Rhinolophus ferrumequinum: one gene and its partners. The protein of the gene in region 1 purifies or fractionates together with the protein of each later gene. This does not show direct contact. Links are inferred from orthologs where the notes say so. Each region holds a gene or a part of one and is shown in the gene's direction. Other genes may lie near its edges. The genes, in order: CDC37, RPS6KA4, CHUK and IKBKG.

Region 1 (7,645 bases):
ACAGTAGGTGCTCAACAAATAGCTCTTGAATGAATGAATAAATCTGCTTGACTTCCTCACCTTCTTCCGGTCTCTGTCAAAACTGTGGCCCATGGGCCAACTGCCGTCCGCAATCCATTGTTAATTGGCCCACAGCAAATTCCAAAAATATATTTAGTTTACTTAAATAAACCAGGTGAGGCAAGATGTACTTCACCTCGAGTGAGTGGCCCAGCTGTTTGTGTATTTTACTGCGTATGGCCCTTGGTAAAAAACGTTGAAAAAAGTTTTGACATCCCTGTTCTAGATTCTTCCCTGATACAGATGTCTCCCCCAATACTGTCACCTTCTGCCCTTACTTAGCTTATTCTTCTCAGCTCTTATCACCCCTGACATATCATATCTGTATGTTTCTACTCTTCCCAACTCCTTAGTTCCATGAGGGCAGGGGATTTTTCTGGCTTGTTCTAGCTGTAACAAGGGCCACCTCTCATGGACATCTGAACTGTGCAATCCCACAGGGCTCTACGTTTAGAAGGTTTAATGCGCTGCTATCATCGTCTTGAAATTCTTCATAATTTTGACCAGGAGCCCTGCATTTTCCTCTTGCCCTGTACTGTGCAAATTCTGTAGCTAGTCCTGGCTACATCCCCAGTGCCTGGAATAGCCCAAGATAGGTGCTCAAGAACATATGGAATGAAGGACGGAATGGAGGAGTGGATGGCCAGAGGAGCCCCACAGGCCAGGGGAGAGAGGTGACATGCATGTCACCACTGTCCGGACACACCCATGCACATTTGCAGCAATCCATCCTGGGAGAAACCTGGGCGCAGGAGGCAGGGCATCAGCTTCTAAGCCTGCCTTCCCCTCCCCTGGGCAGCAGGCTGTCTGAGGAGAGGGGTCCAGATGGCAGAGCAGGCCGCTCTGGGCAGCTGGCACCAAGCTCAGACTGAGAGAGGCTTTTTCCCCCACCTAGCTTGTCAGTGCAATCAGCCACAGGCCCACCCTGGGAGCCCCTGGCCTGGCTTAACAGAGGGGCGCTGGCTTCTCCCAGCCTGACATCCTGCCCACCCCCTACTTCTCTCAGGAAGATATGGGGACAGGTGGCCAACAAGAGGGAAAGGAGTGAGGATAAAGGCCGAGTCTACACCTTGGCCCTGAGCATCCAAGTCTGACAAGCTCCTTGCCTGGCACTGAAGTGGGGCTGGGAAAACTGTCGGCGGCCACGTGCATGAGACTTTGTACACAGCTGTGCATATTCAACTGACAGGTGGAACTTTCCACGAGTCTGAGTTTATATAGTTGAGACAAGACTCTACCTGTAGGAGTGTTTGTATGTGACAGGGTGACACCACATCAGTCTATGTGGGCATGAGGTTAGACGTACCTCTGTGTGACTGTGACATGAGTGTGTGTGGGGGAGAGTATTTGCATGTGGAGGCAGCAGGAAGCAGCTTTTCACAGTGGTTAGAAATGCCAAATTTGGGTTCAAATCTCTGCTCAGCCACTCACCTAGTTGTGTGGCCTCAGGCATATTATTTAGGTTCTCAGTGTAGAGTGTGAGTAGGATTACATTTGTCTGGATTTGTGTGTGTGTGTGTGTGTGTGTGTGTGTGTGTGTGTGTGTCTTGGAAGAGTAATTCCACTCCTCCAGGAGGTCTTCCTGGATATCCAACTTGAAATGGACCCTTTCCTTTTTCTTTCTTGTCACAAGCTGTCTGTTTCCTTCACAGCTCTAAGCATAATGTTTGTTACCATATTTATTTGTTTATGTTGTTTTTCTCTTCCCCCCAATAAATATCAGCTCCCTGGGGGCAGGGAGCCTTTTTCTGTTCACTGCTATGTCCCCAGCCCTTGACATGTAGTAGGCACTGAATACTTGTTGAATGGATGAATATCTGCATGGCACAGGAGAGGTAGTTTCTGCCTGGGTATCATAGGTTCCTGGAGAGACCGTGCCCAAGTCTGGTCTCTACTATCTTCCTTTCCCAGTTGTTCACAACCATTCCTTCAGCCATCCTCACTTTTATGGGAATGATGACACCTCATCAACCTTATCACCTCCGACAACATCTTTCCCATCCCTGGGTCTTAGGGACTCACTCAACCTCATTTGTAAAATGGGAGGATGGATGGACTGGTTCATGATAAAGCCGCCATTGTGATCTAAAATACTAAGGAAATACTCTGTGTCTAATTCCCTTTTTAATTCATTCGACATTTATTGAGCACCTACAGTGTACCAGGCACTGATTTGAACCTGATCTTGCCCTCATGGAGCTGAAATAACAAGGCAGACAGATACAAACGGTAAATCTTATTTAATCTCCAGCACTCCCCCGCCCACCACCACACCCCAACACTCTCTGTGCCTGATAGGAGTTTAGTCTGCACAGCCTGAAATCACCATGGGTATTTCTCTGTTTACATACTGATCTTGCTCCCTTACCAGTCTGGAAGGTCAGAAGAGCAGGGACCTGGCTGGTCTTGGTTGCTATGGCACCACGGCCTGGCTACAGTGCCCTGGCACATAGTAGGCACTTGGGAAATAGGTGTGAAATGAGCTAAGATATAAATGATGAGGCAAGGACAGGCTCGCATGCATGACTTCGTGTAAGCCTCGGTGTGCCATTACCCACTTTGCAGATGTGGAAATTGAGGCTCAGGAAGGCAAAGCCATTTACTGGGTCCCACTGCAGCTAAGTGTGTGGCTTACCGGATGCAGCAAAGGAAGCTTGGATAGCCCAAAGGAGCACTCCCAGCCCCCCACCCCCACTTCGCAGGTACCAGAGACAGCATGGGATGCGCTAACGGGGTGGGGGGGGGCGGGGAGAGAGAGACCAAAGGACAGTGCAAAACAACTCCGGGATCTCTATCTCCAGGGTTGGAGATACTGTGCTGGCAGGAGATAAGAAACGGTTTGGCGCTGATGGGAGAGCTTCCGGCGCCCTGTCCCCAAATCTGGAAGCTGGGGCTCTTGGGACCCGGTTTAACTGGGGCCAGTCAGCTCCAGTCTCGAGGCCAGGGAGAGACTCCTGCGACTACCCGGGAATCCCCGGCATCCGGGGTCCTCCCCACATCCCCCGCAGTCCGGAGGCAGGCCTGAAGCCCTCAGATGGCTACGGGGTGGAGGGCCGGCTTTCTTGGGGAGTGGGGAAACCCCCTCCATCCTGTCCACCTCCCTCCAGGGCTCCAGGTTCCCCTCCCCACCGCAGCTCGCAGCCCGAAGCTTACCTTGCAGGGGAGCTGGGGAGGGGATGCCCCGCCCTCTCCGGCTGGAGGGGGGGGCGGGAGGGGACAAGGGTGTCCAGACCCTTTGTTTGCTGCTGTGTAAGTGTGTGTGCGCGATTGTGAGACCCGCTGGGGTGTCGGTCCGTGCGCGCGCGTGCCCGGGCTGTGACGGTCTCTGAGATCCTGGACTGCTGGGGCTGGAGGGGGAGGGGAGAAAGACAGGGGGACTCCCCCGCCCCCGCCCGCCCACTGATTGGTTTGAATGGAGCCTGAGGTGGAGGGGCGGCAGCAGGAGGGGGCTTTTTTCTGGATGGCCCCATCCCCTCTCCGGGCAGGGGAATCCCCCCATTTGGAGACCTTCCAGCCCCCTTCCTCCAAACAAACGATTTGGAGAGCCTGGGAAGAGGCGCCCCTCACCTGAGGGTCTAAAGCTCCTATCATCCCCCCGGACCCTCACGGAGTGCCCTTTAATCTGAGATAATCCTGGCCCTAGGCTGCAACAGAGTCTTTTATCCCGGTATCAAAGTGTGGGTTGGGATTTACGAAAGTGTGCGTGCGGCTGGTGTCGCCCTAACTCAGAATAATGGAGTTCTTTGAGCGCGTCCAGACGAAAGGGAAGGGGCTATGAGCAGTCCTGGAGTATTACTACGTACGAGGAAAGCCCCCTTTCGCACCTCGGCTCTCCAAGACTCTGAGCGGGGCCTAGAGCACTGGCCGCTGGCTAGACATTAGTGACACCTAGCGGCCACACGGGGAAACGCCGCGGACCCGCGTCCGAGACACATTTGAGGGATCCAGGTGATTCCAGAGGGGGCGTATGCGCGAATCTTGGCTCTGGAGTGGTAGCAGATGAGAGCAGCACAAGGAGGCTGTGGTACTCCCATAGAAAATACCAGCCCCCAAGGCAGGGTCACATCGCCGCCACCTCCCACCCCCCAAGGGCACGGCCATAATATCCCTCTTTCACTAAGACCTTCCCAAGGCAGGGTCCTGCACCCCTGAGGGAAGGTCCTCTCAGATCACACACCCCTCCCCAGTGTAAATTAGGTCCCAACTCACAAGGGGCAGAGGGCGGGTCTCGTCGCCGAGGCCCTGCCCCTGCAGGGGGTTCGGGCTGATGTCACTGCGGCGTGGCTGAGGGGACAATCTTCTCCCTCAGTGTCGCCAACTTCACCCCCCGCCACGACCGCCGCAAACTCCCACTGAGGGGCAGCGAGAGATGAGGGGGAGCTTGAGGTTGGAGCTCCCGCCCGTATACCCCTAGAAGATGCCTAGTGGGAACCCCGCGTCGGATGAGGCGAGGTCTCGACCGGGACTCCCGGGGGTCGAATATGCGCGCTGGGGCCTTTAAGAATAACTCGGTCGCCAGTGACGCCGCCGCGGTTACTAGGGATTTGACGTCACGCGTGGGCGGAGTTGCGCGCCCCCGGCGGAAGCGGAAGGGGCGGGGCTCCGCAGGTTGAGGCTCCCGTGCTGTCGCTGCCGCCGCTGCTGCCGCCGCCGCCCTCACAGCCGGAGCGGGCTGGGCCACAGAGGCAAGATGGTGGACTACAGCGTGTGGGACCACATTGAAGTGTCTGACGATGAAGACGAGACGCACCCCAATATCGATACGGCCAGCCTCTTCCGCTGGCGGCACCAGGTAGAGCGCGCGCGCCCAGCCCCTTCCCCCACCCTCCTGGGACTCCGCTGCAAAGTTCCGATCCCTTATACAGCCAGGGATTCCGCCGTTGACACTTGGGATTCCCACCCCACAGTCTGGACTTTTAATATCGCCTAGGGTGCCTCGATTAAACTCCGGGACCGCAGAACTGCCGGGACCCTGAATTTTTGCATGGAACTCCCAGTTGACGCTTAAGGCACCTTCCTGAGTCTAGACTCCCAAGCCAAGCTTTGGGGGTGCCCCCTAGTCCCGTCTGGGACCTTTCATTTACACCCAGAGCTCTGCCTCAGAGTCTGGACCCGGGTCCCCATTTCTGATGTTGGATATCCCATCGGCCACTCCCCAGTCCCTAGAGTCCTCAATACTTTGAATCTATTCTGTGATATGCTTCCCTGGGTCTTGAGGGTGATTCCCATTAAGATCCAGAAATCCCACTTTTTTCCCAAACAGAACAAGAAACCGTGGCCTCCCCTGGGGTTTTTGTTCCTAACCTGGGATGCCACCCCACACCCAGGACCCCTACTCTATCCTGTAGACCTATGCACCACTAGGGCCCGTAGTCCCACCTGGGCCTGGAGTTTGGAACCCAGTTCCCCTCCAGACCCAACTACCAGCTCCACCCTGATGGAGCCTCCAATTCTGGCTGCTCTCCTTTAGCCTTACCTACTGTAGACCCCATTTCCCATGACACCAGGAAACCCTACCGTTGTGGCTTCCTGTCCAGCCACACCCCCTGCCCCTATTTGGCATTGCAGACCCAGGCACCACCTAAACCCCAAGACCAGCTTCCTGTTGGAACCTCTGCCAGCATTGGAACACCTCATCCAAACCCACTCTGCCTTGCCCCTGACCCCAGCCTGGTCTGCTGCGCTCAGGCACCCAAATTGTCCCTGCTCTCACCAGGAACCCTCTCTCCCAATCTGATTCCAAATTCACTGCCCGTTTTTATATTTGTCCCCAAATCCAGACCCCAGAATCCCGAGCCCCAGTGTCCTCCCTCCTCTTTCCCTGTCCAGCAGTGTCCACAGACCAACAGAAGGGCTCTCATAAGTCTTAATGTTCTAACCTCCTGCTCCCACACATCAGGGCTGCTGCACCCCCATAGCTGTGCCTGTTATAGTCTCAAATTGAGGGTGTGTTCCTCTCAGAACCTTCTACCCTCTGGTATGGCAACTCCCAGTCATGTATCCGGAAACTCCTAGAAGGGCCGTTTCCCATCTTGCCAAGGCATTTAGTCTCCACATCGGATCCCCAGTCCCATTTCCACCCTATTCCTTAGAGCAGCAGTCTCTTGGGTAGTGTACCTGCTCGGCACGCCACTGGAGTCTAAGAAGAAAGTTCTAGCACTTCTATTTCTTGTCATTTATTATGAAGCATTTAAGATCTTCACAAAGTTCTAAAGACCATTCTTGGGAACACATTTCTGTCACATAAAGAGGTTAATCTATCCTGCTTTGTGGAGACCGGTGCCCCCTCTCCTGTGGCAAATGCCTTCCACCTTGCCCTCTGCCCCCCTTCCTCCCCACTCCTGAAGCAGAAACGTTTCCTGTCTTGCCACGGAAAGCCTCTAGGCTGTTGCTGACGGGGCTCAGCATCTCCAGCACCAAGGAAGCTTGGGTCCTAATCCCAGCCTTGCCTTCACAAGACCATTGCAAAAATGAAATGAGATTAGATCTGAAAAGAATTTGGCTCAGGGCCTAGGACGGGAGGTGCGATTAGTGAAAAGGTAGCCTGGTGGCCTTTTGAGCCTCGGCCTGCCCACCTGGTTTCAGATCCTGGCTTCTGAATCCCTTGACTTGCTGCGTGACCTCCAGTGAGTTGTTTGAGCTCTTGGTGCCTCAACATCCCCAGCTGGAAATATTCATAGTGTCCACTCCGTAGGGTTGTCGTGCAGGTTGCCTTATTTATTTAATGTGTATAATACTTTTGGGACAGCACCTGGCATGTAATAAGCTCTCCATAAACTTTAGCCACCATCGTCATCATCGTTATGTAGGTAATTTACTCTCATAGTAAAAAGCAAAACAAAACACAGATTCCAGAAGGGGACAAGTGAGTCTTCCCTGGCTCCGCGGCAACCTTGCTCAGACAGCCGCCACTGGTTTCTTGTGGCTTCTTCCCGTAAGCTGTGCTGCCTCAAGATTCTAGGGGCATCGGTTTCTCTATCTGTAAGGCAGGAGGGCAGTGCACCTGCAGGCCCTGCCCACTCCTGTGGCTTCTGCCCTGCCCAGCATGCTAGAGTCCCTCCTGGAGGTGTAAAGCCCAGGCTGGGCAGGCAGCTGCCCCCACCGACTCCGGGCGGCCTTTATTTAGCTTTGGCCTCCCTGGCAGCTGCTCAGAGGACACCAGGAAGAGCTTGGTCGCCACCCAGCAGCAACCAGCAGGGTGGTAGGTTCCTGTGATATGCTTCCCTGGGTCTTGAGGGTGATTCCCATTAAGATCCAGAAATCCCACTTTTTTCCCAAACAGAACAAGAAACTGTGGCCAAGTATGGTGCCGACCCCAGAGAGCCTCTTTCAAGGTGGTGGGAAGGCACCCGGGCCACACAGGCCCTTGTGGAGAAAGGGAGGTTGCAGAGGTGAGGGCCTTTTTGACCCCTATCCACATGGGGAAAAGTGTGGCTTAGGATTGACTGTGTCAGTTTCTGGGGCTCAGGTCTCCCAGTTCTCACCCTCTGTATGCCTGGTCCTGTGCTAGAACTTGGAGATACAGCCTCGTAAAAGGCACAGAGCGAGTTAGCAGAGCATTCTGGTGGCAGTAGCCATGACGGTG
Region 2 (7,749 bases), on another chromosome or scaffold:
CCCATCCCCCCAGCGACCAGCTTAATGCCCTGCGTCGAGAGAAACAGAAACTGGTAGAGAAGATCATGGACCAGTACCGTGTGTTGGAGCCTGGGCCCCTGCCCCGGATCAAGTGAGTGGCCCCTCCACCTCTGGGCTGGGGTCCTCCCGACCTGGCCCCTGCCTGCCCTCTGACCCTGGCCCAGCTTAGGTGCAGGATCAGTGAGGGTTTGCCTGGCCTTTGCATCCCCAACAATGGCCTTTTGTCCCTCCTTCCTCCCTGGCCTTACCCACTCTTGTGCCCTCTTGCCCCCAGGAAGGGCAGCTGGCTGGCAGACAAGGTGAAGAGGCTGATGCGGCCCCGGCGGGAGGGAGGCCTCCATGGGGGGCCACGCCTGTGGGCCGATGGGGCTGGCAGCACCGAGAGCCTGGGGGGCCCCCCAGAGATGGAGTTCTCCGAGGGCAGGGAGGCGGATGGGACAGGTGGGTCTGGGGGCCAGGTGACAAGGATGGTCCCTACCCCATGTCCTCTGTTCCCGCTCTGGCGCCTATCAATGTCTCTGGTCTCTACCTTCCTGCATGGCTTACACAAATGCCCCCTCTGGCCTTCCTTGCTGCACCCTCCCCCCCCAGATGGTTCCAGTGGCGCTTTGCTCTGCGTCCCTGCTGTGTCCCTTTCTTCTGGCACCTTCCTCCTGTCTGCGCTGCCACCTACCCAGTCCTACCCATCCACAGCAGTGCCTAGGACCTCAGAGCAGCAGGGGCCTTTAGTGAGAGGTCATTTATTCCAGTCAGCAGATGAGGAAACCGAGGCCCAGGGAGGGGAAGTGCCTTGCCCAAGGTCACACAGTGAGTTAGTGTCAGAACCAGCACAAGGTCTAGCCTCCTATTGCCACCCTCATTCACCCAGACTCTCCCCCACCTCTGCAGCCTCCTTTCCCTGCCTTTGCTTCATCCTTCTACCCCTCTACTCTGCCCTGCCCCTCCTGTACTGCTCGGGCACTCCCCAATGCCTATGCGTCTTGCAGGGTCCCCCTCACCGGCACCTATGCGCCGGGCCCAGAGCTCTCTCTGCCTACGGGATGAGACCCTGGCAGGTGGGCAGCGGCGAAAACTCAGCTCCCGATTCCCAGTGGGGCGAAGCTCTGAGTCATTCAGCCCCGGGGACACCCCCCGGCAGCGATTCCGACAGCGCCGTCCAGGCCCCATGGCAAGTTCCCATGGCAAAGGTGAGGGGTCCCTGCCTCTATGAGCCCCCAACTTCCTGTGGACCTACCAACTCCTGGGGGAGGGGGCTTCCCTCCTGTCCCCTGTGTCTCTCCACAAGCCCTGCCTGCCTCTGCCCTGGTCCCTGTGGCCCAGCAGCTGCCTTGTGGCCCCCTAGGATCTGGCATGGGATGGGATGGCTCCGTTGAGACCCTGGAGGAACATGAAGCAGATGCCAGCCGAGAGGGTGAGTGGGGTATTTGCCCTGCGTGGGGCCCTGGCAGCGCTCATCCATCCATTCATTCATTTGACAATGAGCCTTTACTAAGTGCCAGGTGATGTGCTAGCAGGGGCCACACAGCAGGGAACATTCTGGTGTGGGAGGCAGACAGTAAACAATATGCATAAAAATAACAATCATCTATAACAGCGCTTGTTCAATAGAAGTAAGATATGAGCTACGTGTATAATTTAAAATTTTCTAGTGGCCTCATCAGAAAAAGTAAAAAGAGACAGGTAAAATTAATTTTAATAACATAGTTTATATAACTCAATAGGCCTGAACTATTACCATGTCAATATGTAGTAAGTGTAAAAAATCATTAGTGAGATATTTTACGGTATTATTATTTTTTCATACTAAGTCGTTCAGGTCTAGAGGTATTTTACACTCAAGCACGTTACGGTTCAGAGCACCCACCTCTCATTCGCTCAGCCGCGTACTGGGCAGCTGGGCCCTAGAATGCTGGGAGGTGACAATGTTCTGGAAAAAGAGAGCAGGGTGAGGGGGGTCAGGAGCTCGGGGTGGGTGGGTTGTAGTTTTAATCAGGGTGCTCAAGATAGGCCTCAGAGGGGACGGGAAGTTGGAGCAGAGACTAAGAGGCGAGTGTGTCGTGTGACATATCTGGGGAACAGCAATGCAGGCAGAGGGAGCAGCTGAGGCAAAGCGTGCCATGTTGGAGGCGGCCAGGCAGCCAGTGCAGCTGGGGTGAGGCAGGAAAGCTGAGAAGAGGATAGAGGGGTGGAGGGTGGGTACAAGGTGTAGGGCCCTGCGGGCCACCACCAATGCTGGGAGTCCCCCAGGGGAGTGGGCTTGAGCTGAGCCTTTCCCTCCAGGCCTCGAGGTGCAGGAACCGGAGAAGCGTCCTCTCGCCCCTTCCCTCAGCCAGTGACACCGTGTGGATGGGGAGCGTGGAAGTGCAGGCACCTCGCCACTGGACTCTCAGTGGGGGCCCCAGACAGCCCAAGAATTCTGGGAGCCAGGGCCCCTGGGGCAAGTCCTTGGACAAGGAGGCTTGGGCCCCCAGGTCCTCCATGGCTGGCACTGGGGCCCTGAGATGGAGCTGGGACAAGCTTGTGGGCAGGGGGGATGGCCGGTCCCCAGGAGCAGCTCCTTGCCAGGGCTCTGGTTCTGCCATGTGGCCCTCGCTGAGGAGGCGGTTTCTGGGGGACCCCCAAGATGAAGAAGGCAGGCAAGAGTGGACAAGAGAGACCCCTGCCCGGTCCAGGTGGGGAGCCAAGGAGCATTCCCTGGGGGCAGTGGCCTGGGCCTATTTCTAAGCCTTAGCTGGGACATGAGGGACATGAAAATAAAGCTGGGATACAATCACCTGAATCTGCGCTCTGTGTGTACTGGCTGCATCCAGAGCCACAAGCCACCAGGGACACCTGCGGCCTGGAGTCTTTCTCTGCCAGTGGGGTCTATGGCTACTGGCTTCCTCACCTGGCACAGGGCAACGAAGGGCTTTCTTCAGGGGAGTGGCCTGTCAGGCTTCCCTGGGTGTCCCAGAGGGGTGGGGGGTTCTGGGTAGCCAGCAGTGGGTGGGGCCTTAGTCTGGGTTCAGCCTTTGCTTAAAAGGTGGGCTTTGGGCTCTGGAGTGGGGGCAGTGAACCCCAGAGGCCCTGCCCTCCCTCTCTGGCACCCTCTTCTCTCCTTTCACTTCTTTCTATCTCCTCATTTCTCCCCCACCCCTTTGGGGTTGAGCCCCTCCCCAGGGAGGTCACAGCCTGGTGGGTATCACCTAGTGCCAGGGGCTGTCATGGAGGAACACAAGAAGTGGGAGGGACAGGACGGTCTTTGACCAGGGCCTCTAGGATGACACTCAGGGAGGGGGCAATTAGGCTGGGTGGCAGGACGTGACTCAAGGCACTGGGGCCTCCCAAGATAGGGAGGGGCTGCCCCGGGCTGAGGTGAGGCAGCCTGAATCTGGGGGTAGGCAGAGCTGGGAGGGGTGGTCAGACCAGCCTCCCCAGGGTGACCTGTAGTAGCTCGACTCATGGGGCTTCCACAACCCCCTTAGAAATAACCCATTGCTCTGCCTGCTTCCTCTTAGCCCCGGCTTCAGAGGCTGATAGCCTCTGTGGGAGTGGAACCCCAGGCCTCCAGCTGGAAGCCCTCTCCCATAGGCCTCAGGGTGGGGGCTTTGATGGCTGCCCTACCCTGTTGGTGGCCCCTGTCAGTTGTCCGGGAGGGGGACGAGGCTCTGGAGGACAGACCAGTCAGGGCGCCAGGCTTGGTGGAGAGCAGGCCATCCCTGTGAGGCTCATGTTCCTTCACGTTCCTCCATGTTCCTTTTTGAGGCCTACTCTGGGCTCTGCATGGGCACTGTGCCAGGCTTGGGGATGACAGGGCAGAACCATGGGAGGGTGCGTGGCACTGGGTGGGATGTGGAGGGTGGCTGAGGCCTGAGGTGCTTTTACAGGTTGGTCTAAAGAGATTCGGTCACCCCTCCCTGTCATGGGGTGGGGCTTGGCTCCAGCACCCTCCCAGTGTCCCCTGTAGGTGCTCCCTGGGTAGGGGGAGCCCAGAGACAGGGCTTTGGTCCTCAGGGCACCTGAGTCCCCAGACCCTCCCCTGCAAAGGCAAGTCCACAGGGGAGAGGGTCTCAGCTGGCCGCTGAGGTGTGGACCGTGAGCTGAGCTGAGCTGAGTGGCTTCCAGGACCCAAACACCTCCTTAGGGCTGCCCAGCGCCAAGAGCAGTGGGCCACACTGAGTGAGAGGTGCTGGGCCAGCCCTGTGCTGGCAGCAGCTGGATAAAGGCAGCTGTGTGGCTTCCGGCTGCTCATCTGTCAAGGGGACCTACAGACCCCTTCCTATTTGCTGACTTCGAGGAGTGATCCCAAACGAGGTGGTGGGTTGTGAATTTTATGAAATTCCTCACTTTCACTGTGGCTAAGAATTAGAGATGTTGGGCTGACATTTTTACCCTGGAGGGGAAACTCTGAAGTGCCAGCGTGCACTCCTCTGCGGCACAGGCTCCAGGGTCTCAGCACCACTGGCTTCACCAGGCACCCCAGGGCAGACACCTGGCTTGGGAGTGTTTGCGCAATTGGAACTCCAGGTAATCCGCAGATCCCAGGCATGGCTCCCAAGGGGTTGTTCCGAGGTCACCAGGAGGGTCGCAAGCGGTCCGGGTGCGCGCAGCCCTGATGCCCTCCCTGTGCGCCCGCAGAAGACTGGCCGCTCCCGCCCGCCCACCCGCAGCCCAGAGCTGTCACGTTCCTGCGCCTGACTCAGGCCGCTCGGGGCGGGGAGATGGGAGGCGGTGCCGGCGCCCAACTCGGCCTGGAGGCGGCACCAGGAAGCGCCCGCCCCGGCCGGAGCCGCCATGTAACCGGCGCCGCCCGGAGCCGAGCTGTGCGGGCCCCAGTGACCGGCCCGCCATGGGGGACGAGGACGAGGAGGAGGGCTGCGCTGTGGAGCTGCGGATCACGGAAGGTGGGGCAGGGGCGGCCAGGGGCTGCGGGGCTGCGTGATGACTGCCTGGGCCACAGGGAGGGGTCATGTACTGGCTGGGCTCATTCGCCCCCTATGCCCACAGCCAACCTGACTGGGCATAAGGAGAAGGTGAGCGTGGAGAACTTCGAGCTGCTCAAGGTGCTGGGCACGGGAGGTGAGGACCCCTACCCACCAGGCAGATGTCCCAGGCACGGTGCCCTGGGCCTCCTGCCTCCTGCCGGCACACCCGCCTGGGCCTGGGCCAGGCCACCAGCAATGCCCCCCACCCTTTCTTGGAACAGCCCGCCTTGCCTGCCCTGCCCTGCCAGGGTTTGCATGCCCTTTGCAAGGTCCTCCTGGATTTGCCAACACCTTTGGGGGCTTGCAGCCTTCCCAAGTGATTTGCACAGTTCCTCTCCTTGCGCTGATATTAGAGTCCTCTCCCCCACTTTGCAAACTCCCCAGCTTGGGTTTGCACATCCCTCCCAAATCTGCACGTACCTCTGCCTCCCTTGCTTGGATTTGCATGTCCTCAAATCTGTCTGATCTTCCCCAGGTTTGCACAGGCCCCGCCCCCACCTTGCCCTGCAGGCCTCCTGGAGTTGCATAGCCCCCAGCTGGTTTGCACACCCCTCCCGGCTTTTGCTGAGCACCCTCCCAGTGCTGTGCACACCTTTCCCTTAGAAGCCTCTGCCGGCTTTTTGCACACCTGCCTCTCACCCCAGTTCCTTCCCCCAATTGCACACCCTCCTGGGTTGGCATCACTCCTACCCCCACCAGTCTGCACCACCCTCCTGCTCACCGCCTACCCTCTGCCTACTCGCTGCTCCCACAGCCTACGGGAAGGTGTTCCTGGTACGGAAGGCGGGTGGGCACGACGCAGGGAAGCTGTATGCCATGAAGGTGCTGCGCAAGGCTGCGCTGGTGCAGCGCGCCAAGACGCAGGAGCACACTCGCACTGAGCGGTCAGTGTTGGAGCTGGTGCGCCAGGCGCCCTTCCTGGTCACGCTGCACTACGCCTTCCAGACCGATGCCAAGCTGCACCTCATCCTGGGTAAAGGCAGGCACCTGCCAACTTTGGGGGCTATGGAGGCAGGTGGGGCCACCCATGGGGACTGCTTCCAACATCTAACCTATCCCCCAGACTATGTGAATGGTGGTGAGATGTTCACCCACCTCTACCAGCGCCAGCACTTCAAGGAGGCTGAGGTGCGCGTGTATGGGGGCGAGATTGTGCTGGCTCTCGAACACCTCCACAAGGTGGGTGAGGACCTGGCCACATGCCTGTTGCCATGGACACTGGGTCTGGGCCTTATTAGGGGCTTCCAAACATGGCAGCCTCCGATCTCTCTCTCTTCCTGGGGGGTGGTGGAGACCAGAGCTGCTTCCTCAGGCCTCCTGGAAGGAAGGCCTCTGCACTGCCTGGTGGGGTCTCTTCCCCTGACGTCCCCTCGAAGGTGCTTTCCTCTCACAGGGAACTCGGGACTGCCTCTTGGGGCCGTGTTTATAGAACTTCCTCAAATGGAGACCTCATGCCTTGGCTCCCAAAGCCTTCTTGCCATGGAGCTCTTCACACAGGCTTTCTTCTCTCTGGGACCTTGGGGCCTGCTTCTCTGGGCCCCTACCATGGGGCGGTCCTCCTTGCTAGCTTTTGCATCTTAAATGGCCTTTCCTCTTCAGTGGCTCAGTCCTACCCCAGGCCCACTCCTGCACTGAAGATCCCCTTCTCCAGGGGGTCCCCTTCTTCTGGGCATTGACTTGGTGCAGGGACATGAGCTGTAGGAGCTGGGGCTGTTAGGGGAAGGGTCCTCAGTATCCCTCTTGCTCCTGCCAGCTGGGCATCATCTACCGAGACCTGAAGCTGGAGAATGTGCTGCTTGACTCCGAGGGCCACATCGTCCTTACGGACTTTGGGCTAAGCAAGGAGTTCCTGACAGAGGAGGTGAGTGAAAGCAGTCTCTCCGCCTACCCCAGTGTAAGCCATCTCCTTCCTGTCTCCTGCTCCATGCTTGGCACTGCTTGTTTCTTGGAGGTACAGAGGTAAATCGCCCTAGGCCCTGCCTTCAGGAAGTTCTCACTGCTCCAACCCTCGCAAGTCCAGTGAGTTCTCCTCTGAACCTTGAGGGTTGCTGGTTGTCCAAAGTGGGTCTTCTTGCCCTTCCAGAAAGAGCGAACCTTCTCCTTTTGTGGCACTATCGAGTACATGGCCCCAGAAATCATCCGCAGCAAGTCGGGGCATGGCAAGGTGGGTTGGCAGGGGAGTGGGGGTGGTGGTGGGGTGAGGCCGGGGTGGCTGCAGGCCCTCACTTTGGCTCGGCCCTGGCAGGCTGTGGACTGGTGGAGCCTGGGCATCCTGCTCTTTGAGTTGCTGACTGGGGCCTCACCCTTCACTCTGGAGGGTGAGAGGAATACGCAGGCAGAGGTGTCTCGGTGAGTGGGGCTGGATGTGGAGGGCAGCTGAGGGGCCTGGGCAGGGAGGGGGGGCTCGCTGCCCCTGACGCCCCCCCCAATCCTCCCAGACGGATCCTGAAGTGCTCCCCTCCCTTCCCCCCTCGGATCGGGCCTGTGGCGCAGGATCTGCTTCAGCGGTTACTTTGCAAGGACCCCAAGAAGCGGCTGGGTGCGGGGCCCCAGGGGGCACAGGAAGTCAAGAATCATCCCTTTTTCCAGGTGAGGCTCCTGAGCCGCCCCCACACCTTTCTGCACATACCTAAGCTGGGCTGCTGCTCTGGGTTTGGGGACACTGGAGGGATGGTCGGAGACAGGCCAGTTTCACTTGATTTAGAAAAGTCTCCAGATAAAGAAAGCAGACTTATCTTCTCATCCATCTCTATTGAATCTCAGA
Region 3 (7,409 bases), on another chromosome or scaffold:
TAAAACCGTACAAGGAGTGGTATAAATTAGGCAAAGACTGAAGATCGGAATTTGCTGACAAGAAAAGATAGACTATGGAGGGGAGTCGAAAATGTGCAGTACAGATAACCTGCTGCTGGTGTCCGTGATTTGCAGATGTTTTATTCCCCCACCTGTCCCAATTAGATCTGAGCTTTGAGTCAACCTTAAGCCCTTCTTGGACTAATTTGGAAAGCCTCCAAGAGATTGCCACCATTGGATTAAGTCCAGTAAATGTAGTTGTCTACGTTTTCAAAAAGATCATTGACAAATGAGAACAAGTATGTTAGGAGCTTCAAGCATTTGACATTATCTTTTTGTTGTTGCCTCAGCAACAGATGCAGATGTGGACGCTGATGATGTAGGCACATGATTGCAGATATACACAGGCACATAAGCCTACAAGAGAGATTCTCTGGATGATTTTATGCTCATGATAGTTGTATTTTCAACACTGTAGTTTTCAAAATGCTAACTTACAGTTACATAGCATTTTATAGTTAACAAAATACTTGAAAAGACTTTTTTTTCCCTGCTGCTGTACAAGAAAGGTGATTCTATCTTCATTTTACAGATGAAGTCAGCTCAAGGTTTGCCCAGGCAGATAGAACTTGAGCTCGGGGTCTCTGACTTTTAGGAGACTCATGTGATTGATTTTCAACTCTTCTATTTATTGTAGCTTTATTGTGGGAAATGAACCGTATAGATGTGCATAGAGTTACTTCTAATATATCAGCATAAGTAAAAATAAGTAAAAGTGTAAAGCAGTGGCAGTTAGAAGGTAGCCTGTGTGTAAGTTTGTATGTAGTTATACTGGAGTCCTAAGAGCCAAGACAAGTTTTGTTGGTATTGAGCCTGTGCTGTTGTGTCCACATACGCCTGAATCCGCTGAAAGGAGAGGCAGAAGGTTAGAGTGAGGTGTGATACTAGGTGCCCAACTCTGCACCATGCCCTTACCAAACTCATGGTCTAATTGGGATGACGAAACTGGAGTTTAAGGTAGGATGTAATCAGAGCCAGTCTGGTACTTTTATTGTGTTATTTCCATACCTCACAAAACCCTTAGTTCGCATTTCATAGGTGAGAAAATCAGGACTCAGAGATGAAATCTTCTGTTTAAGTCATAGACAGCCAGGGACAGAGCTAGGAATGGAATCGTCTCTGATATTTCTGACACCAGGGCCTGCCCTCTTCAGTGCCATGTTGCTTCTTTAAGTACCAATAAATGTAGTTCCAAGTTCAGAGAAGTAAATGGGATTTGAGGGGTTAAGAAAGAGGTAGGATCTGAGTTGGTCACTTAAAATGAGTATAATTTTAATAGCTAGAATGGCAGAGAAGGCACGCAGGGCAAGAGAAAATGGTATGAGTGAAGTCAGAGGAATTTGCATGCCTTGTTTGGGTGATGCTGAGGAGAGCTCTCTGGTGGAGAGGAAAAGAAGGTTGGGGGGGTGTTCAGGCTGATACTGTCTATTTTGATTTCTTTGTACTCTTTCTGCAGGGAGGTCCTGGCCAGTGAAGCCATCCTTAATATTCCTGACAAGTCTGACTGGAGGCAGTGTCAGATCAGCAAGGAAGAGGAAGAAACCTTGGCTCGCCGCTTCCGGAAAGACTTTGAGCCCTTTGACTTTACTCTGGATGACTAAGCAAAGGGAAAGGCACTTTATGAACTTCACAGGAAGTAGTAGCAGCCTGTTTTTTAAGAAACTACAGTCTCCCGTGGGGACTGTTTTCCTGCCTCTTTTTTTGTGCATTCCCATGGAACCTATTGGTAGCAAGAGGCCTAAAATTGAATATTTTTTGGAAAAAGTCACATTCTAGGAGGAAAATCCTATATTCAAGGCATGTCTGTCATCCAGCTCCAAATACAGCTTTTGTTTATCAACATTTTCCAAAACATTTAAACTATCAAATAAAATCCAAATACTTTCCCGTGTTTGGGAAGTGCCTGATGTTCATGTTACCTGTAACCACTGAAATAAAGTCGTGTGTGTGTGTGTAATAGGAGGAGCCGGGGCTTTAGGCCCAGCTGTTATCACAGGATGTCACAGGTGGCTTCTCCCTGAGCAACCCAGGATGGAGAAGGAACCCAAGGCCTTTGCCATTTTTCTCATAACATTCATTTGTTGATATGAAAGAGCTCATTCATTTCTTCAGCAAATATTTAACTCCTATGTGCCAGGCATTTTTCTAGGCTCCAGGAGTATAGCCATGTCCCAACATGGTCTCTGTTGTCCCAGAATTTACAGTCTAATTGGGAAGAGAAAGGGCAGATTTAAGATAAGAAGATGAGTTCTGCTTTAGATATGCTGAGTTTTAGATATGTTGAGTTCTTGCATAGTTATAAACTTATGGAGATCTGGATTGGAGATCGGGCTTTGGGGATCATCAGGGTATAGGCCATAGGTGAAATTACGAGAATGAATGAAAAGATAGGTTGAATACCAACCTAAGCTGAAGATGACTACCTTGGAAATAGAGTGATCCGACAAGTATATGGAGAAAGAGCAAAGAGAGGGAGACATCACAGGAGAATGTTGTATCTTGGAAGTCAAAAGAAAAATCATTGCTCCTATATATTGGGCACTAATGGCCCAGACACTATTTCACTTAATCCTCACAAAATATCTATGAGATAGGTATTATTACCTCCATTTTATACATGAAAAAAACTGAGACTGGCAAACTTGAAGATTCTGGAGCCTGAGGTCAACCGGCCCAGGATTTTAAAAAAGAGCTATGCAGTGTCCCTGTGAATGGGGATGTTAAAGAATGAGCTTTAGGAAACAACCAGGTTCCTGCAAAGATGGCCACTTCAGGGTCAGCTCAGTCATCAGTATCCTCAGGTCCTCAGCATCTCTTCCCTGGCTCTTGCAAATGACAATAAGGAGATTTTGGCCCCACCTGTGGAGATCAAACACACTTCAGTGCTCATTATGCTGTACACCTAGCAAATGAGGGCTTCAGAGTATTAGGATAATCTGCATCACAATCATTTGTGCAGTTTGCCTGGGTCTAAAGGATGTGTTCTTGGAAGTACCATTTGCACATCACCTCCAAGTCTGATACTCCAGCTCCGTGGCTACCAAGCATGTATGGGAAACCAGAATTTCCAACACCACACGTTACTGATGACCTATATACCATGACTCGCTTCGTATCATGCAGTGTTCAACAATCTGAGTGCACTATTCAAGGATTTTGGTGACAATAGACACATTGGCTTTGCCAAAAGCCTATTCAATGCTTTCAAAGCAACCAGTGACATTACCATGGTGCACATGCTGTACCCACCTTTAGATGTTTCAAATGCTACATCTGTGGTACAACCATCTGTGATAGATACAACCATCTATCACAAAGTGTTAATTGGAATTCCATGTACTGAGTTCATAGGCAGGGGTGTGCAAATGATCAAGTGCACACCGTCTCAAAGGAGGCTCAAATGACCATCCTTAACGCCAACTGACACATTTCTTGAGAATTTGATTCCAAGCTGATTGTTATACTTGGAGTAACAATGGAGTGATTAATGAAATCCCCAAGTCCTATGAAGCTATGACCAACTCAGCAAAAACAGGAAGCTGGTTCCCCTATGCTAAAGCAATCAGCCACTCGGAAACTCTTCTTGTTGCCCCAACAGCATTCCCCAAGCTTGCCTCTGCAGCCTTGCATCACGCATGAAAAACTCCCCACAATGAGGAACTACCTCACTGGCAAACCCGTATCTGGAGCACTGTTTGACAGGGACAAGATCCCGAAGTCAGGAACAGGAACGTTCTTTACTCGGGAACGGCATCACATCCTTGAGCCGTTTGGAATTACAGGGGAGATCCTGGGACAGGTATATAGGAAATAAAGCAAAAGAACAGCTGATCCTGACTCTATGGAACATGATTAATCATTTAAGGAAGAAAAGATGAACTATTAAGTCTATGGAGGCCTTGTTAGCGCGGGATTCTTTCTAGTTCTTCGGCTTCCGCCATATTTAAATCGGTGGTGGCCTTCGCCAGTGCCAGCTCAGCGGATGGTGAGGTTGGAGAATAGATGGCAGAAGTCTGAAGAAAGGTGAAGTCTAAATAGGGGTGGAGATGATGTGAAGTTGAAAAAAAGACCAATACAAGACAGACTGTTTTGGAAAGTGATTTGAAGGGAATGTAGGGCCTGGAGAGATCTTACATTTTTGAAGACTGGGGAAAAAACAAGTGGGTTCTCTCAGCTAGGAAAATGCCCAGGGTACTTAAGAGAGCGTATTGAAAGCGCCCTACTCCCCCCACCCTTTCCCCTGCTGAGGGGCTTGCGGCACGTTGGGAAAATTTGGGGCGGAGCTTTCCGTGTGGCAGTTACCGGAAGTGATGCATACATCTCGCGAGAAGAAAGACGCGCGAGCCTCGGCGGCCCGGAACCGGCCTTGGAACGGTGGCTGAACCTGAGGCCGCTTGCCCTCCCGCCCCATGGAGCGGCCCCCGGGGCTGCGGCCGGGCGCGGGCGGGCCCTGGGAGATGCGGGAGCGGCTGGGCACCGGCGGCTTCGGGAACGTCTGCCTGTACCAACATCGGGTGAGGCGGGGCGCGCGAGGGAGCGGCGGTGGCTGTTTGTCAGAGCGTCTGTGGAACACAGTGGCTGTCAGTATGTGAGATTGTTGGTGTTACCTCGGGCAGTACTGGGGGCCAATGAGCGTGTGTGCGTGTGAGAAAGAAAGAGATTGAGATTGTGCTTGTGGTTACTGAGTCAGGTTGTATCTGGGTCAGCGTGTGTGCGTTAGCGTTATTAGGAAGAACTTTTGGTATGAGTGTCAAGATGTGACAAGGTGTTTACCGAATGTGACGGTGCTTATGTGTCTCTGAATGTAAAGAGTGTAACGGTGTGTAACGTAAGGCAAATGCACATGAGAGTGTGTATTGTGAGCACAAGTGGGTGAGAAAATGGGGCTAAAGAGTGGGGGGGGGCTGCCTGTTGGAATGTGTGTGTACTTGGGTGTGCTTGGAAGCCATGTGTTATCGGTGGGACTGGAGTAGACAAGGTTTCAGGGTGGAAGCGTTTGGAAGCATCGAGTAGGCTTTGGAATTGGGGATGCATTCCAGATAGGAAGCTGTATGAGGATCAGATGGTGAAAATGATCGGGGCCTCGCAAGGGAAGGAGATAGATTAGGGGTGAGGTGCTCTAGTCGTTGGCAGACAGCTAACATCCAAGTCGGGAATTGGCGTTGATTTAATTGAAAATGTTTAACCATTGTAGCAGCAGTTAATAATCATGTTTGAGCTATGCATCTTTTGATAACCAATAAAAGATCTGAACCCTTTCCCCAGAAATATGCACAGAGGCACGTCCGTGCAGCCTTATGCATTGCCATTTGAGGAAGCTCATGTTCTCCTGAAAGACATTCACAGACCTTTTAGATATATAGACCCTGGACTAGTAATCCCTGCAGTATAGCCTTTGTTTTGTTATCTGTGAAATGGTTACAATAATGTCTACTCACCGTGAGTCTGAGAGTTAAAGAAGATAGTAATATGTGTAAAGCTAAGTACAGTACCTGGCCCATGGAAAGCCCTCAAACGTTTGCTCTCGTTGTTGCTGTGTTGTTGCTGTTATTATCATCTTTATCATCATTAATTGACCTGCAAAAAAGGAAATGCCAAGATAAAAGTGTTCTTTTTTTGTAAAAGATAAATCTGAGTAGGAAAACATATGGGACAAGCTGACCAGTTAAGCTATTACTGCCGTAAAATGCTTGCAATTGGCTTGTGAATGGAGAAGTGAATTCAAGAAGAGAAATCATGATTTGCTGTTTTAAGGAATGTGGGTGTGGATAGAGAGCCCATAGTATAGGATGGGACTCCATCTGGGAGGAATAGACATGTTTGTGTGGCAGTTACAATGACGAATATCACTGATAGAACCGAGGAAATTTTATGAAGCAGGTTTCTGGATAGAGCATAGGAGGAAATCTTGGTGAGAGGGAGAATGGAAGGCGAAGGACTAAGGCATTAAGTACTTTGACAGCTGGACAAGTAGTAATTTAATAATTCTCGCCATCAGAGAGGACATAAGGCACTCAAAAGGAAAAGAGAGGGAGCGATGTACTTCTATTAATAGCAGATGTTGCCTTTGGCCTTTGTATTTGAAGCCTGACCATCAGCCTGGTCATAAGAAAAATGTACCACTTCCCTGAAAATAAGACCTAGCCGGACAATCAGCTCTAATGCGTCTTTTGGAGCAAAAATTAATATAAGACCCGGTATTATGTTATGTTATACCCAGTCTTACAGTAAAATAAGACCGGGTCTTGCATTACTTTTTGTTCCAAAAGACGCATTAGAGCTGATTGTCCGGCTAGGTCTTATTTTCAGGGAAACGTGGTATGCATGCTGGCATGGTTTTGTGACTGCTTTTCTTGGTCCCTGGATGGGGACCAATGAATACATGATTTTTTAAAAAAAAATTGTGGTTAAGTATATATAACATAAAATTTACCATTTTAACCATTTTTAAGTATACAGTTCAGTGGCATTAAGTACATTCACATTGTTGTGCAGCCATCACCACCATTCATTTCCAGAACTTTTTTATCTACTGAAACTGTATACCCATTAAATAAGAACTTCCCATTTCCTCCTCCCGCGGGCCCCTGGCAACCAGCATTCTACTATCTGTTTCTGTGAATTTATCATTTTTTCAATGAAAGAGATTTGAGTCCTCTAGAATCTTAGAAATCTCTCAGAAGCTTTCCAGGTGTCCAGAGTGGACTTCCCCAAAACTGGGACATTTGACAACTTGGCCTGTAGTGAAAGAAAGAAATACTTTGTCGTAAGACTTGGAAACAGCATCACTACTCTTCCAAGCCTGACATAGGGTTTGCATTTACAGCTTTCAAGATCCTAGTGTTTTGGTGGAAGCCACATCCCAATATTTCATCTACACCTCTTAAATCACAATGAGGAAGAGAAAAGGATGTGAGAGTTTATTTAGCTGATTACTGTTCTGGGTGCTGGTGCTGATGGTGCCCAAATCAACATGAACAGTATTTTCTGCCTTCAAGGAGATTTCAAGTCTAGTGGGAGACACAGAATCACTTTTAAGTACATAAACACTTTTAAGTACAATGTGATAACCTATATAATGAAGGTATTTGTAAAGTAATATGGAAGAATGGCAAAATAACTAAAAACTCTTCTTAGGGAATAGGGTAGCACTTCTGAAAGTGTGTTTGGAAAAACTAATCCCGTGAAACTCTTTGAAAAAATTATACTATGGTCAAATACATTGGGTAAATGCTGCATCTATGATATTCCTTCATTTGGAGAGTCATAGCCCACGTTAGTATGTTAAAAGCTCTGAGAGGTCCTATAGAGAAGAAACTAACTTAGTTGCTTTCCAATTTTTTTTATTG
Region 4 (7,392 bases), on another chromosome or scaffold:
CTGGCTGGGGCAAAGGAACCTGGGCCACCACCCACCTGTGGCTGCCCAGCTTTGTCTTCAGTCTCCAGTGTTATAAGGCCACACCACTGCCGATATCTGTCTTTGAGAATTGTAGGCGTGGCAGAGAGCTCCAGAGGCTGGCTGCCAGCTAGAGGGCCCACAGGGATGGGCCATCCCGTCCCCCTAGGGTCAGTCAGGTCAAGGATCTGCTGGGTCCCCCAGGGTGGAGCCCGGGCTCTGGCTGGAGCCCAGCTGGCTCGTGGCCACTGCAGTGAGAGCGCTGGGGTAGGCGAGGCTATAAAAAAGAGCCTCCCTCCTCCATCGTGGGGTTCATGAATCACCAGGACTTGGGGGGGGTGCCGACATCATCATGACACAGCAAGAATCTTACCGGCCCAAGGGGGAAGACAGCCCAGCAAGATCCTGAGGAGAGGGAGGGGCTGGGGCTGCCAGGTCATTCCTTGCACAGGCCCGTCATTGGGATGGGTTCTGAGCACTCAGTGAGCCCATGGCCCTTGTGGTGCAGGTGGGGAGACTGAGGCCCCTGCAGTGAGCCAGTGCTGCCCAGGCAGAGTCGCAGTCCTATCTCTTTCTCTCACCCCCATTTCTCTCTACATCCCCTGGAGGGAAGCATCACTCCAGTCTGGCCGAGGCCCCATCAGATGGGGGGAGGACATAATGGACCAGGCCCAAGGTTCCTCCCCTTGCGCTGGTCTGTAAGGAGAAACTGGTTGCTTTCATTCCAGAGTTTTCTAGACTGGGACAGTAAGTACCTCCACTCCCTTTCTGCTTGGGGGTGGGAATCCTGAGATGGGGAGAAGTGGCTATATAGTGGGGGGAACAGAGAACAGCAAACAGCCCCAAGCCCATTGGGTAAGTCTGTGAACCAGCATTGTGATGCCCCCAGGAAGGAAGCTGGGTGTTCAGAAGATGGTTGGGTAAGTGAGTGAGGGAGGAAGGGGCAGAGGATGGCCACATGGGCTCAGCCTGTCCCAGGGTGCCCATCAGCCACTGGGCAGTGTCTGCTCTTCCCTTGGTGTAGAGTCCTCCCTGGGCCCTGGCTCTGCAGGCCTTGCTCTGAAGGCCCTCCTCAGGAGATCTGTGTGCTGGGGGGAGGGGGGGCTGGGGACACAAGGGCCCGTTTGTGTCTTCTGTCACATGCGCCACTCTGAAATCTTACTGGGTTGCTAACTCACCTTGGGTCCCAGTCCCCCAGCACACAGGTCCCATGAGGAGGGCAGGGCCTGTGTCACTGCACTGCAGAGGAGGTACTCAATCGCCACTTGATGCCTGAATAAGCAGAGAACTAACTGGTTTCCCAGAGAACCACCGTGCCTACTTTCTACATGGAGGGAGCAGGCATGGGAGGCCTGCTTCTGGGAGCTGTTCTAGGTGCTGCCTGAGCATGGGAGGCCCGCCTACCCCACTCCAGCCCCCTTGAACTGCAGGATGGAGAAACAAACAAGGAGGCTCTTCTTCGGAGGATCCCCTCCCCACAGCCTGTCCTCCTCCACTCCACCGCACTGAAGTGGCACTTCCCACTTCTGCTCTGAAAGCTTCTGTTTGTTGCTCTCAGAGCAGAGGGGAGCAAAGGGGAACCTCACCAATTGCAAGAAAACAAAGTTGCCCAACCCCAAGCTGGCCACAGAGGAAGGCAATGATGAGGAGCTACAGAATCAGCTCGGCAGAGCCCAAGGAAGCCTTGGCATTTGCTTCAAAAGCCCTCATTTGCTACATGGAAACACAGAGGTTCAGAGAAGGGAAGACACTTGCCCCAGGTCACACAGCAAGCTTGGATGATCTCAGTGAGATGTCTAAGAGTTGAGGGTCTGGAATTGTAAGCCATTTATTGTGGCCTGGGACGCTCTATTGGGGCATCCTGTGACTGGAGGGAAGGAAGAGAACTAATCCTGAGTTACTTTCTCCTCCAAACTATTTCTTGGACAAAGGGCCTAATGGTCAGAGTCCTTGGTGTTAAGGTTTGTGGCCAATACAGGTATGGCTCCTCTAAGGGGACCAGGCTGGAGACAAGGTGGACGTCACATCTGCCCCCTGTGTGCTGCTACTGTGTACTCCCCAGCCGTGGACTTACGGGGAGCCAGAGGACAGTGCTTAGTGCAGGCCTTCCCTCCCTCCCACCGGCAGAACCTTTCTCCCCCACTCTGCCTCCCTCCCTGCATTCTGGCTCTCCTTTTCCAAGTTCTAATCAGAATCCCAAAGTTGGCAGGGGGCAGCCTCTGCAAAGGACAGTGGCACGCTGATACGTGAACAAAGAACCAAGGTCCTCCAGAGTGAGGGGAGCATGATGTGGACGGCACAGAGAGACCATGCCTTCCCCGTCAAGAGCTGACTAGTTTGGGTAGAACTCTCCCTCAAGATTATACAGTAAGTTATGGGTAAAAATGGTCCTGCGATGCTTAGCAGATGCTTCGTCACATTCAGGGTTCAACGTGAAAAGAGAAGGCCGCTTTAACTTCGACATGAAGCCCTGGCAACTCATCTCACCAGGCCCTGCACACATCTTGCCGCCTGGCAGAGATCTCATTTCCACATGGTACACCGGGAGGGGGCCTTAGTGTAGGGGCCATGGCCTTTCCTATCAGAGCAAAATGGCAGTGCCACTGGCTAGACAATGGGGCAGGTCACAGCTCCTCAGCAGGCCTTGGAAGTTGGGGCAAAGAGACAGTGTTCAAAGAAAGGTTGAGTGTTTGTCCCCAGGGAACTTGACGTGGTAGAGAGACAAGGTGGAGATTGGGCCTCAGATCCTGCCTCTGGAACTAATTGACTGTGTGACATTTGTCAAGTCACAAACAAGTTTGAGAAAGATACACACAGAATGAATAGCCTCCCTTGTTTGCATCTCAGTTTTCCCCATGGAGGAAGCAATCCAATCAGACAGTCCCTAAGGACCTTCCAGCTCCAGGACATGGGTCTACATTCAACGGCTCTGCAGGTTTCAGAAATGCCTCACAGTGTGTGTATACCAGGTGTGCTGGGTGATAATGGCACACGAGCAGGAGTAAGAAGGAGAGTCTAACTGAGCTGAGCCTGTGTGGCCCCACGGCAACCAGTTGGGAAAGCTCAGGTACCCAGCAGGAAGAGACCTTAAGCAACTTCACACTTTTAAGATGTGGGGCCTGGGGGAGACTCACCGATGCACCCATGATGATGAAGATATGTGTATCGGACTGATGGAAGGCATCACCCTGGTACAGCTCTTCCCGCAGGATCCCGCACACTTGGGTCCGGCTCAGGGCCACCTGCTCTGCCATGATGCTCTCTGGTGAAAGAAAGACTTGTTGACAAGGCACGAGAACAGAAGAGCTCTGAGAAGATGGCCCCTTTCTTCAGGGGTCTTTCGGGCTCTCACTCAGCTGAAGTCTGATTATTCGAAACCACTGGCTGAGAATGGGGGGAGGTAGGATGGTTGGGGGGTTAGAAGCTGCTGGCTCTGAGCTCCGGCCATACTCCCCAGGAAGCCTTCTTTCACAGTGTACATTACAAAATTACTCAAAGCACTAGTGGATTCCAACGAGAGTCTCAATTCTGAGGAACTGGGTAAAAAAACCCCTGCTGGAGCATCGCACGATGCTAGTTTCATCTCAGCCTGGAATCAGGCGGAAACCCCACAACAAGCTGGAGCATGTTAGACCCTGCAGCTCCAGTCCTCCTCCTACCAAGCTGGGAGATCATGGCAAGTCCCTGCCCCTCTCACGATCTCAGTCTCCTCAGGGGTCCACTGGAAAGCGTTAAGACTCTCTGATTTTACCCGGCTCCCCAGCATGGCAAATCGAAAGGCCTCGCGGCGCAGCACACCCCAACACCGGTGTGGCGCCCGCCCACTTCGTTACCTGAGCTTCCTGTCCGCCTCTGCCAGTTGGTCTCTCAGCCCCGGAGTTCCCGGACGTTTCCGGGGGCTGCGACCCGCGGGTCCATTTAACCAGCGGGGGCGGGCGCCTGAGCTGAGCTGACCGCCTCAGGCGAGGCGCGCGGGCGGGGCCTCCATGGGCCCCTCCCTCGCGGGGGGCAGGGCAGGTGCGCGCGCATCTTAGCCTCCCCTCCCGCGGAGTCCCCTCCCTTGGCCCGCCCCATCCCTTGGGCACCTGGGCCGGCCGCTGCCTGCTGTGCCCATCGCCGCTGTGTCGCGTCCCCGATGCCTCGCGAGTCCGCGAGCAGCTCTGCGCCGTTCGCCCACGTCTCCATAGCCAGCCCTACCCCGCCCCTACACTCTGATTTTGCCCCTCCGCCCCCGGCGGCCCGGCGCCCTCGCGGAGGGCTCACTTCCGCCGGCAGTGTGGCCACGCCTCCTCGACCCCCATTTATGGGCGGGGCCGTCTTCACCCCGCCCCCTCCCGGACCGGTCAAACCTGTCCTGCGAGGTAGCCTCTTCGTGGCTCCTCCCCTAGCAGGGGCGGGGCGGCCGAGCGCCCGGAGGCTGGGTGCCACCGCTCAAGAGACAAGGGGGAGTGTGGGTTTGACGCCCCGGAAAGTAGCGGGTGGGGAACATCACTGGGGAGCGTCCTGCGGGCCGGCCGAGGGTGGCGGGCTCAGGCTTCCCTTTGGAACAGCTTCCCTCACATCTATTCCCGGCCTCTTTGGAGGGGCGGGGCTTGCGTGTTTTACTTCCGGATCCCACAGTTACGACACCGGAAGCCGGAAGTGGGAATTTCGTGGGGGAGAAGGGAAGAGCGACCGCGGAACCGGGACTTTCTCGGAGCGACGGGGCCCGAGGAGCGCTCGCGGCCCGCTGCTCCCGCCCTTCTTACGTCGGACTGATTCTGCTGAAAGGTGTGGTCCTCTTCCCCGAAGACAGGGTACCATCGGTGGGCGTTCCGCCGCCTCCTAGATTTCCCCCGGACGTCTAGGCTTCCCTCTCCTGTTGGGCCCAGGTCCGTTTCTGCCACCCGCTTCTAGAGTACTGGCCCAGGCGGGCCGATGCAGGACCCAGGTTGCCTTGGAGGCGAGCGGGACTGTTTCCGCTTGTCCCTCCTCCGCTGCCGCGGAGTCTGACCACACCCATAGTTCGTGGATGACTCTTGTAGTTCGGAGACATTTTCTGTTCAAACTTGCTTGTGTGTGAGGTGGTTAAATTCTTTAAAAAGACCTCAAATAGAGTTGGCAGCTAAGTGTCTTATCTCATGTGCCTCCGTTTGTTCACTTTTCAAAAACGATTCATGTCAGCCCGACCTCATACCGTTTGTGTGACTTGAGGATAAAAGGGCCATCATGGCATGTTGGAAGAAGAGCAAGGAGGCCATTATAGCTGGAGCAGAGTGAGTGAGGTACTTGGAGAGGAAGCAGTAAGGGATCAGATAGTGCAGGGTCTTGTAGGCCATTGTAGGGACTTTGGCTTTTACACAGAGGGTAATGAGGAACCATGCATGGTAGAGATCTGATTAGAGGAGGGACATGATTGGAATTACCTTTTAGGCGGATTGTTCTGACCGAGGTGGGGAGAACAGACTGTATGGGGCAAGGGTAGGAACAGGGGTGACCTGTTAGGAGGTTGTTGCAGTAATCCAAGTGAGAGACAATGGTGCTATGAGCATTTTATTATGAAAAATTACAAAGACGTACAAAAGTAGGAAGAAGAGTGTAGTAAATCCCATGTGCCCACCTCCCAGCTTCAACAATTATCAACTTGTGGCCAATTTTGTTTAATTTATACCTTTTACAATCCTCTCCCATTACTCTTTTTAATGACAGCTTTATTGAGATATAATTCACATACCACACAGTTCACCCATTTAAAGTGTACAGTTCACTGGTTTTTAATATATTTAGAGTTGTACAACCATACCCACTAATTCCAGAACATTTTTATCACTCCAAAAAGAAACCCTGCACCCTCTAGCTGTCACCCCATCACCCCATCTCCCCCGCCTCTAAGCATCCACTAATCTTTCTGTCTCTGTGTATTTGCCTATTCTGGACCTTTCATATAAATGGAATCATACAATATGTGGTCTTTTGTGAGTTGTTTCTTTTTCTTAGCATAATGTTTGCAAGATTCATCCATTTTGTAACATGTCTAGATTTTGATTATTCATCAGTTGATGGACATTTGGGTTGTTTCCATTCTTTGGCTGTCATGAGTAATGTTGCTGTGAGCATTCATGTATGGACATGTGTTTTCATTTCTTTTGGGTATATACCTAGGAATTTCCCCATTACTTTGAAGTGGATTTCAGACACCATGCGTAAATATTTCAGTATGCATCTCTAAGAAAGGACTGAAAAAAAAAAAAAAACAACCACAATACCATATCCCACCTAAAATAGTTAACATTAATTGCTTAGTGTCATCAGATCGATTCTGGGATATATTTTGGTAGAATTTCCTGATGGATCAGATGTGAGCTGTGAGAGACAGGAGTCAAGATGGACTCCATGGTATTTGTCCTGATAACGAGAGGATGGATTTGCCATCAGCTGACACGAAAGAAGGCTGCGGGACCTGGCTTTTGGGAACTGTCGGGAACAGTTTTAGAGAGATTAGTTTTGAGAGGACTCCTAGATTCCAAGTGGAGATGTTGAGTTTGATATGTGAGTGTGGCGTTGAGGAAAGAGGTCTAATTTGGGGCATCATTGACATTAAGGTGGGGGGTTAAAGCCATGAGGCTGGATGCTTAGTACTGGTGGGACTGGACAGAGAAGAGAAGAGATCCTAGAACAGAGCCCCGGGGCATCACAGTGTGAAGGGCTGGGTTACCAAAGAGGATTCAGTGCATGGCACCGAGCACAAGCAGCCAGTGAGGTCGGAGGAAAACTAGGAGAGGGCTGTCCTGGGAGCTGAGGGAGGAATCCGTGGTTGGTCAGATGCTGCTGATGAGTTAGTGGTGTGTTCAGTGTGGTAGTCAAATGTCCAAGTTTATCTGTTGTGAAAGCCTCCCTCAGCTCAGGCCTCAAAACTTGTATTGAGAGTGGCCTCCTCCGCCAGGTAGTCAGTCTTCTTGGGCAGGATTGAAAAGGGCTCCAGGCTGGTACTGTCCCTCACGGCCCGCCTCTCCTCTGGTTCACAAGAGAATGGGGACAGCTCAGCCTGTGTCTCTGCCCCACTGTCTTAGGCTGTCAGCCCAGCTCCCACTTGCCGATTCTAAAGCAAAAAGTCAGATACTGGATTTCCCTTTTGTCCCCTCAGTTCCAGGGAACATTCATCAGGGTCTGAGTGGTCTCCTCGAAATCCTTCTTAGTAGGTGCATTAATTTTCTGGGGCTGCTGCAAGAGATTTATTCTTTCCCAGTGCTGGAGGCTGGAAGTCTGAAGTCAAGTGTGGGCAGGGCCGTGCTCTCTCCAGAGGCTGTAGGGGAGGGTCCTTCCTGCCTCTTGCAGCTTCTGGTGGCCCCAAGTGTCCTTTGGCCTGTCGCCACTCCAGTCTCTGTCTCCACCTTC

What was found.
Region 2: the proteins of CDC37 (region 1) and RPS6KA4 purify together in Homo sapiens (affinity purification with mass spectrometry; 3 studies listed by BioGRID and IntAct, with this or other methods). This does not show direct contact. The link is inferred for Rhinolophus ferrumequinum from reciprocal best matches to the Homo sapiens genes CDC37 and RPS6KA4.
Region 3: the proteins of CDC37 (region 1) and CHUK purify together in Homo sapiens (affinity purification with mass spectrometry; 7 studies listed by BioGRID and IntAct, with this or other methods). This does not show direct contact. The link is inferred for Rhinolophus ferrumequinum from reciprocal best matches to the Homo sapiens genes CDC37 and CHUK.
Region 4: the proteins of CDC37 (region 1) and IKBKG purify together in Homo sapiens (affinity purification with mass spectrometry; 7 studies listed by BioGRID and IntAct, with this or other methods). This does not show direct contact. The link is inferred for Rhinolophus ferrumequinum from reciprocal best matches to the Homo sapiens genes CDC37 and IKBKG.

Annotation. Positions count from the first base shown.
Region 1 is NC_046301.1:39,857,997-39,865,641, forward strand, and holds the start of CDC37 (hsp90 co-chaperone Cdc37), read left to right. Parts: upstream 1-4,638; 5' UTR 4,639-4,750; coding exon 4,751-4,852; intron 4,853-7,645. UniProt on the Homo sapiens protein: Co-chaperone that binds to numerous kinases and promotes their interaction with the Hsp90 complex, resulting in stabilization and promotion of their activity. Inhibits HSP90AA1 ATPase activity.
Region 2 is NC_046294.1:7,080,460-7,088,208, reverse strand, and holds the start of RPS6KA4 (ribosomal protein S6 kinase alpha-4), read left to right. Parts: upstream 1-4,745; 5' UTR 4,746-4,849; coding exon 4,850-4,904; intron 4,905-5,007; coding exon 5,008-5,079; intron 5,080-5,739; coding exon 5,740-5,964; intron 5,965-6,048; coding exon 6,049-6,164; intron 6,165-6,738; coding exon 6,739-6,846; intron 6,847-7,068; coding exon 7,069-7,149; intron 7,150-7,230; coding exon 7,231-7,334; intron 7,335-7,423; coding exon 7,424-7,574; intron 7,575-7,749. Other genes in the region: CCDC88B (coiled-coil domain-containing protein 88B), read left to right, coding at 14-112, 296-462, 1,008-1,208, 1,364-1,432, 2,302-2,357. UniProt on the Homo sapiens protein: Serine/threonine-protein kinase that is required for the mitogen or stress-induced phosphorylation of the transcription factors CREB1 and ATF1 and for the regulation of the transcription factor RELA, and that contributes to gene activation by histone phosphorylation and functions in the regulation of inflammatory genes.
Region 3 is NC_046299.1:24,311,350-24,318,758, forward strand, and holds the start of CHUK (inhibitor of nuclear factor kappa-B kinase subunit alpha), read left to right. Parts: upstream 1-4,399; 5' UTR 4,400-4,469; coding exon 4,470-4,574; intron 4,575-7,409. Other genes in the region: CWF19L1 (CWF19-like protein 1), read left to right, coding at 1,517-1,661.
Region 4 is NC_046284.1:6,116,188-6,123,579, reverse strand, and holds the start of IKBKG (NF-kappa-B essential modulator), read left to right. Parts: upstream 1-4,384; 5' UTR 4,385-4,788; exon of another isoform or gene 4,789-4,889; intron 4,890-7,392. Other genes in the region: G6PD (glucose-6-phosphate 1-dehydrogenase), read right to left, coding at 3,153-3,280, 4,104-4,203. UniProt on the Homo sapiens protein: Regulatory subunit of the IKK core complex which phosphorylates inhibitors of NF-kappa-B thus leading to the dissociation of the inhibitor/NF-kappa-B complex and ultimately the degradation of the inhibitor.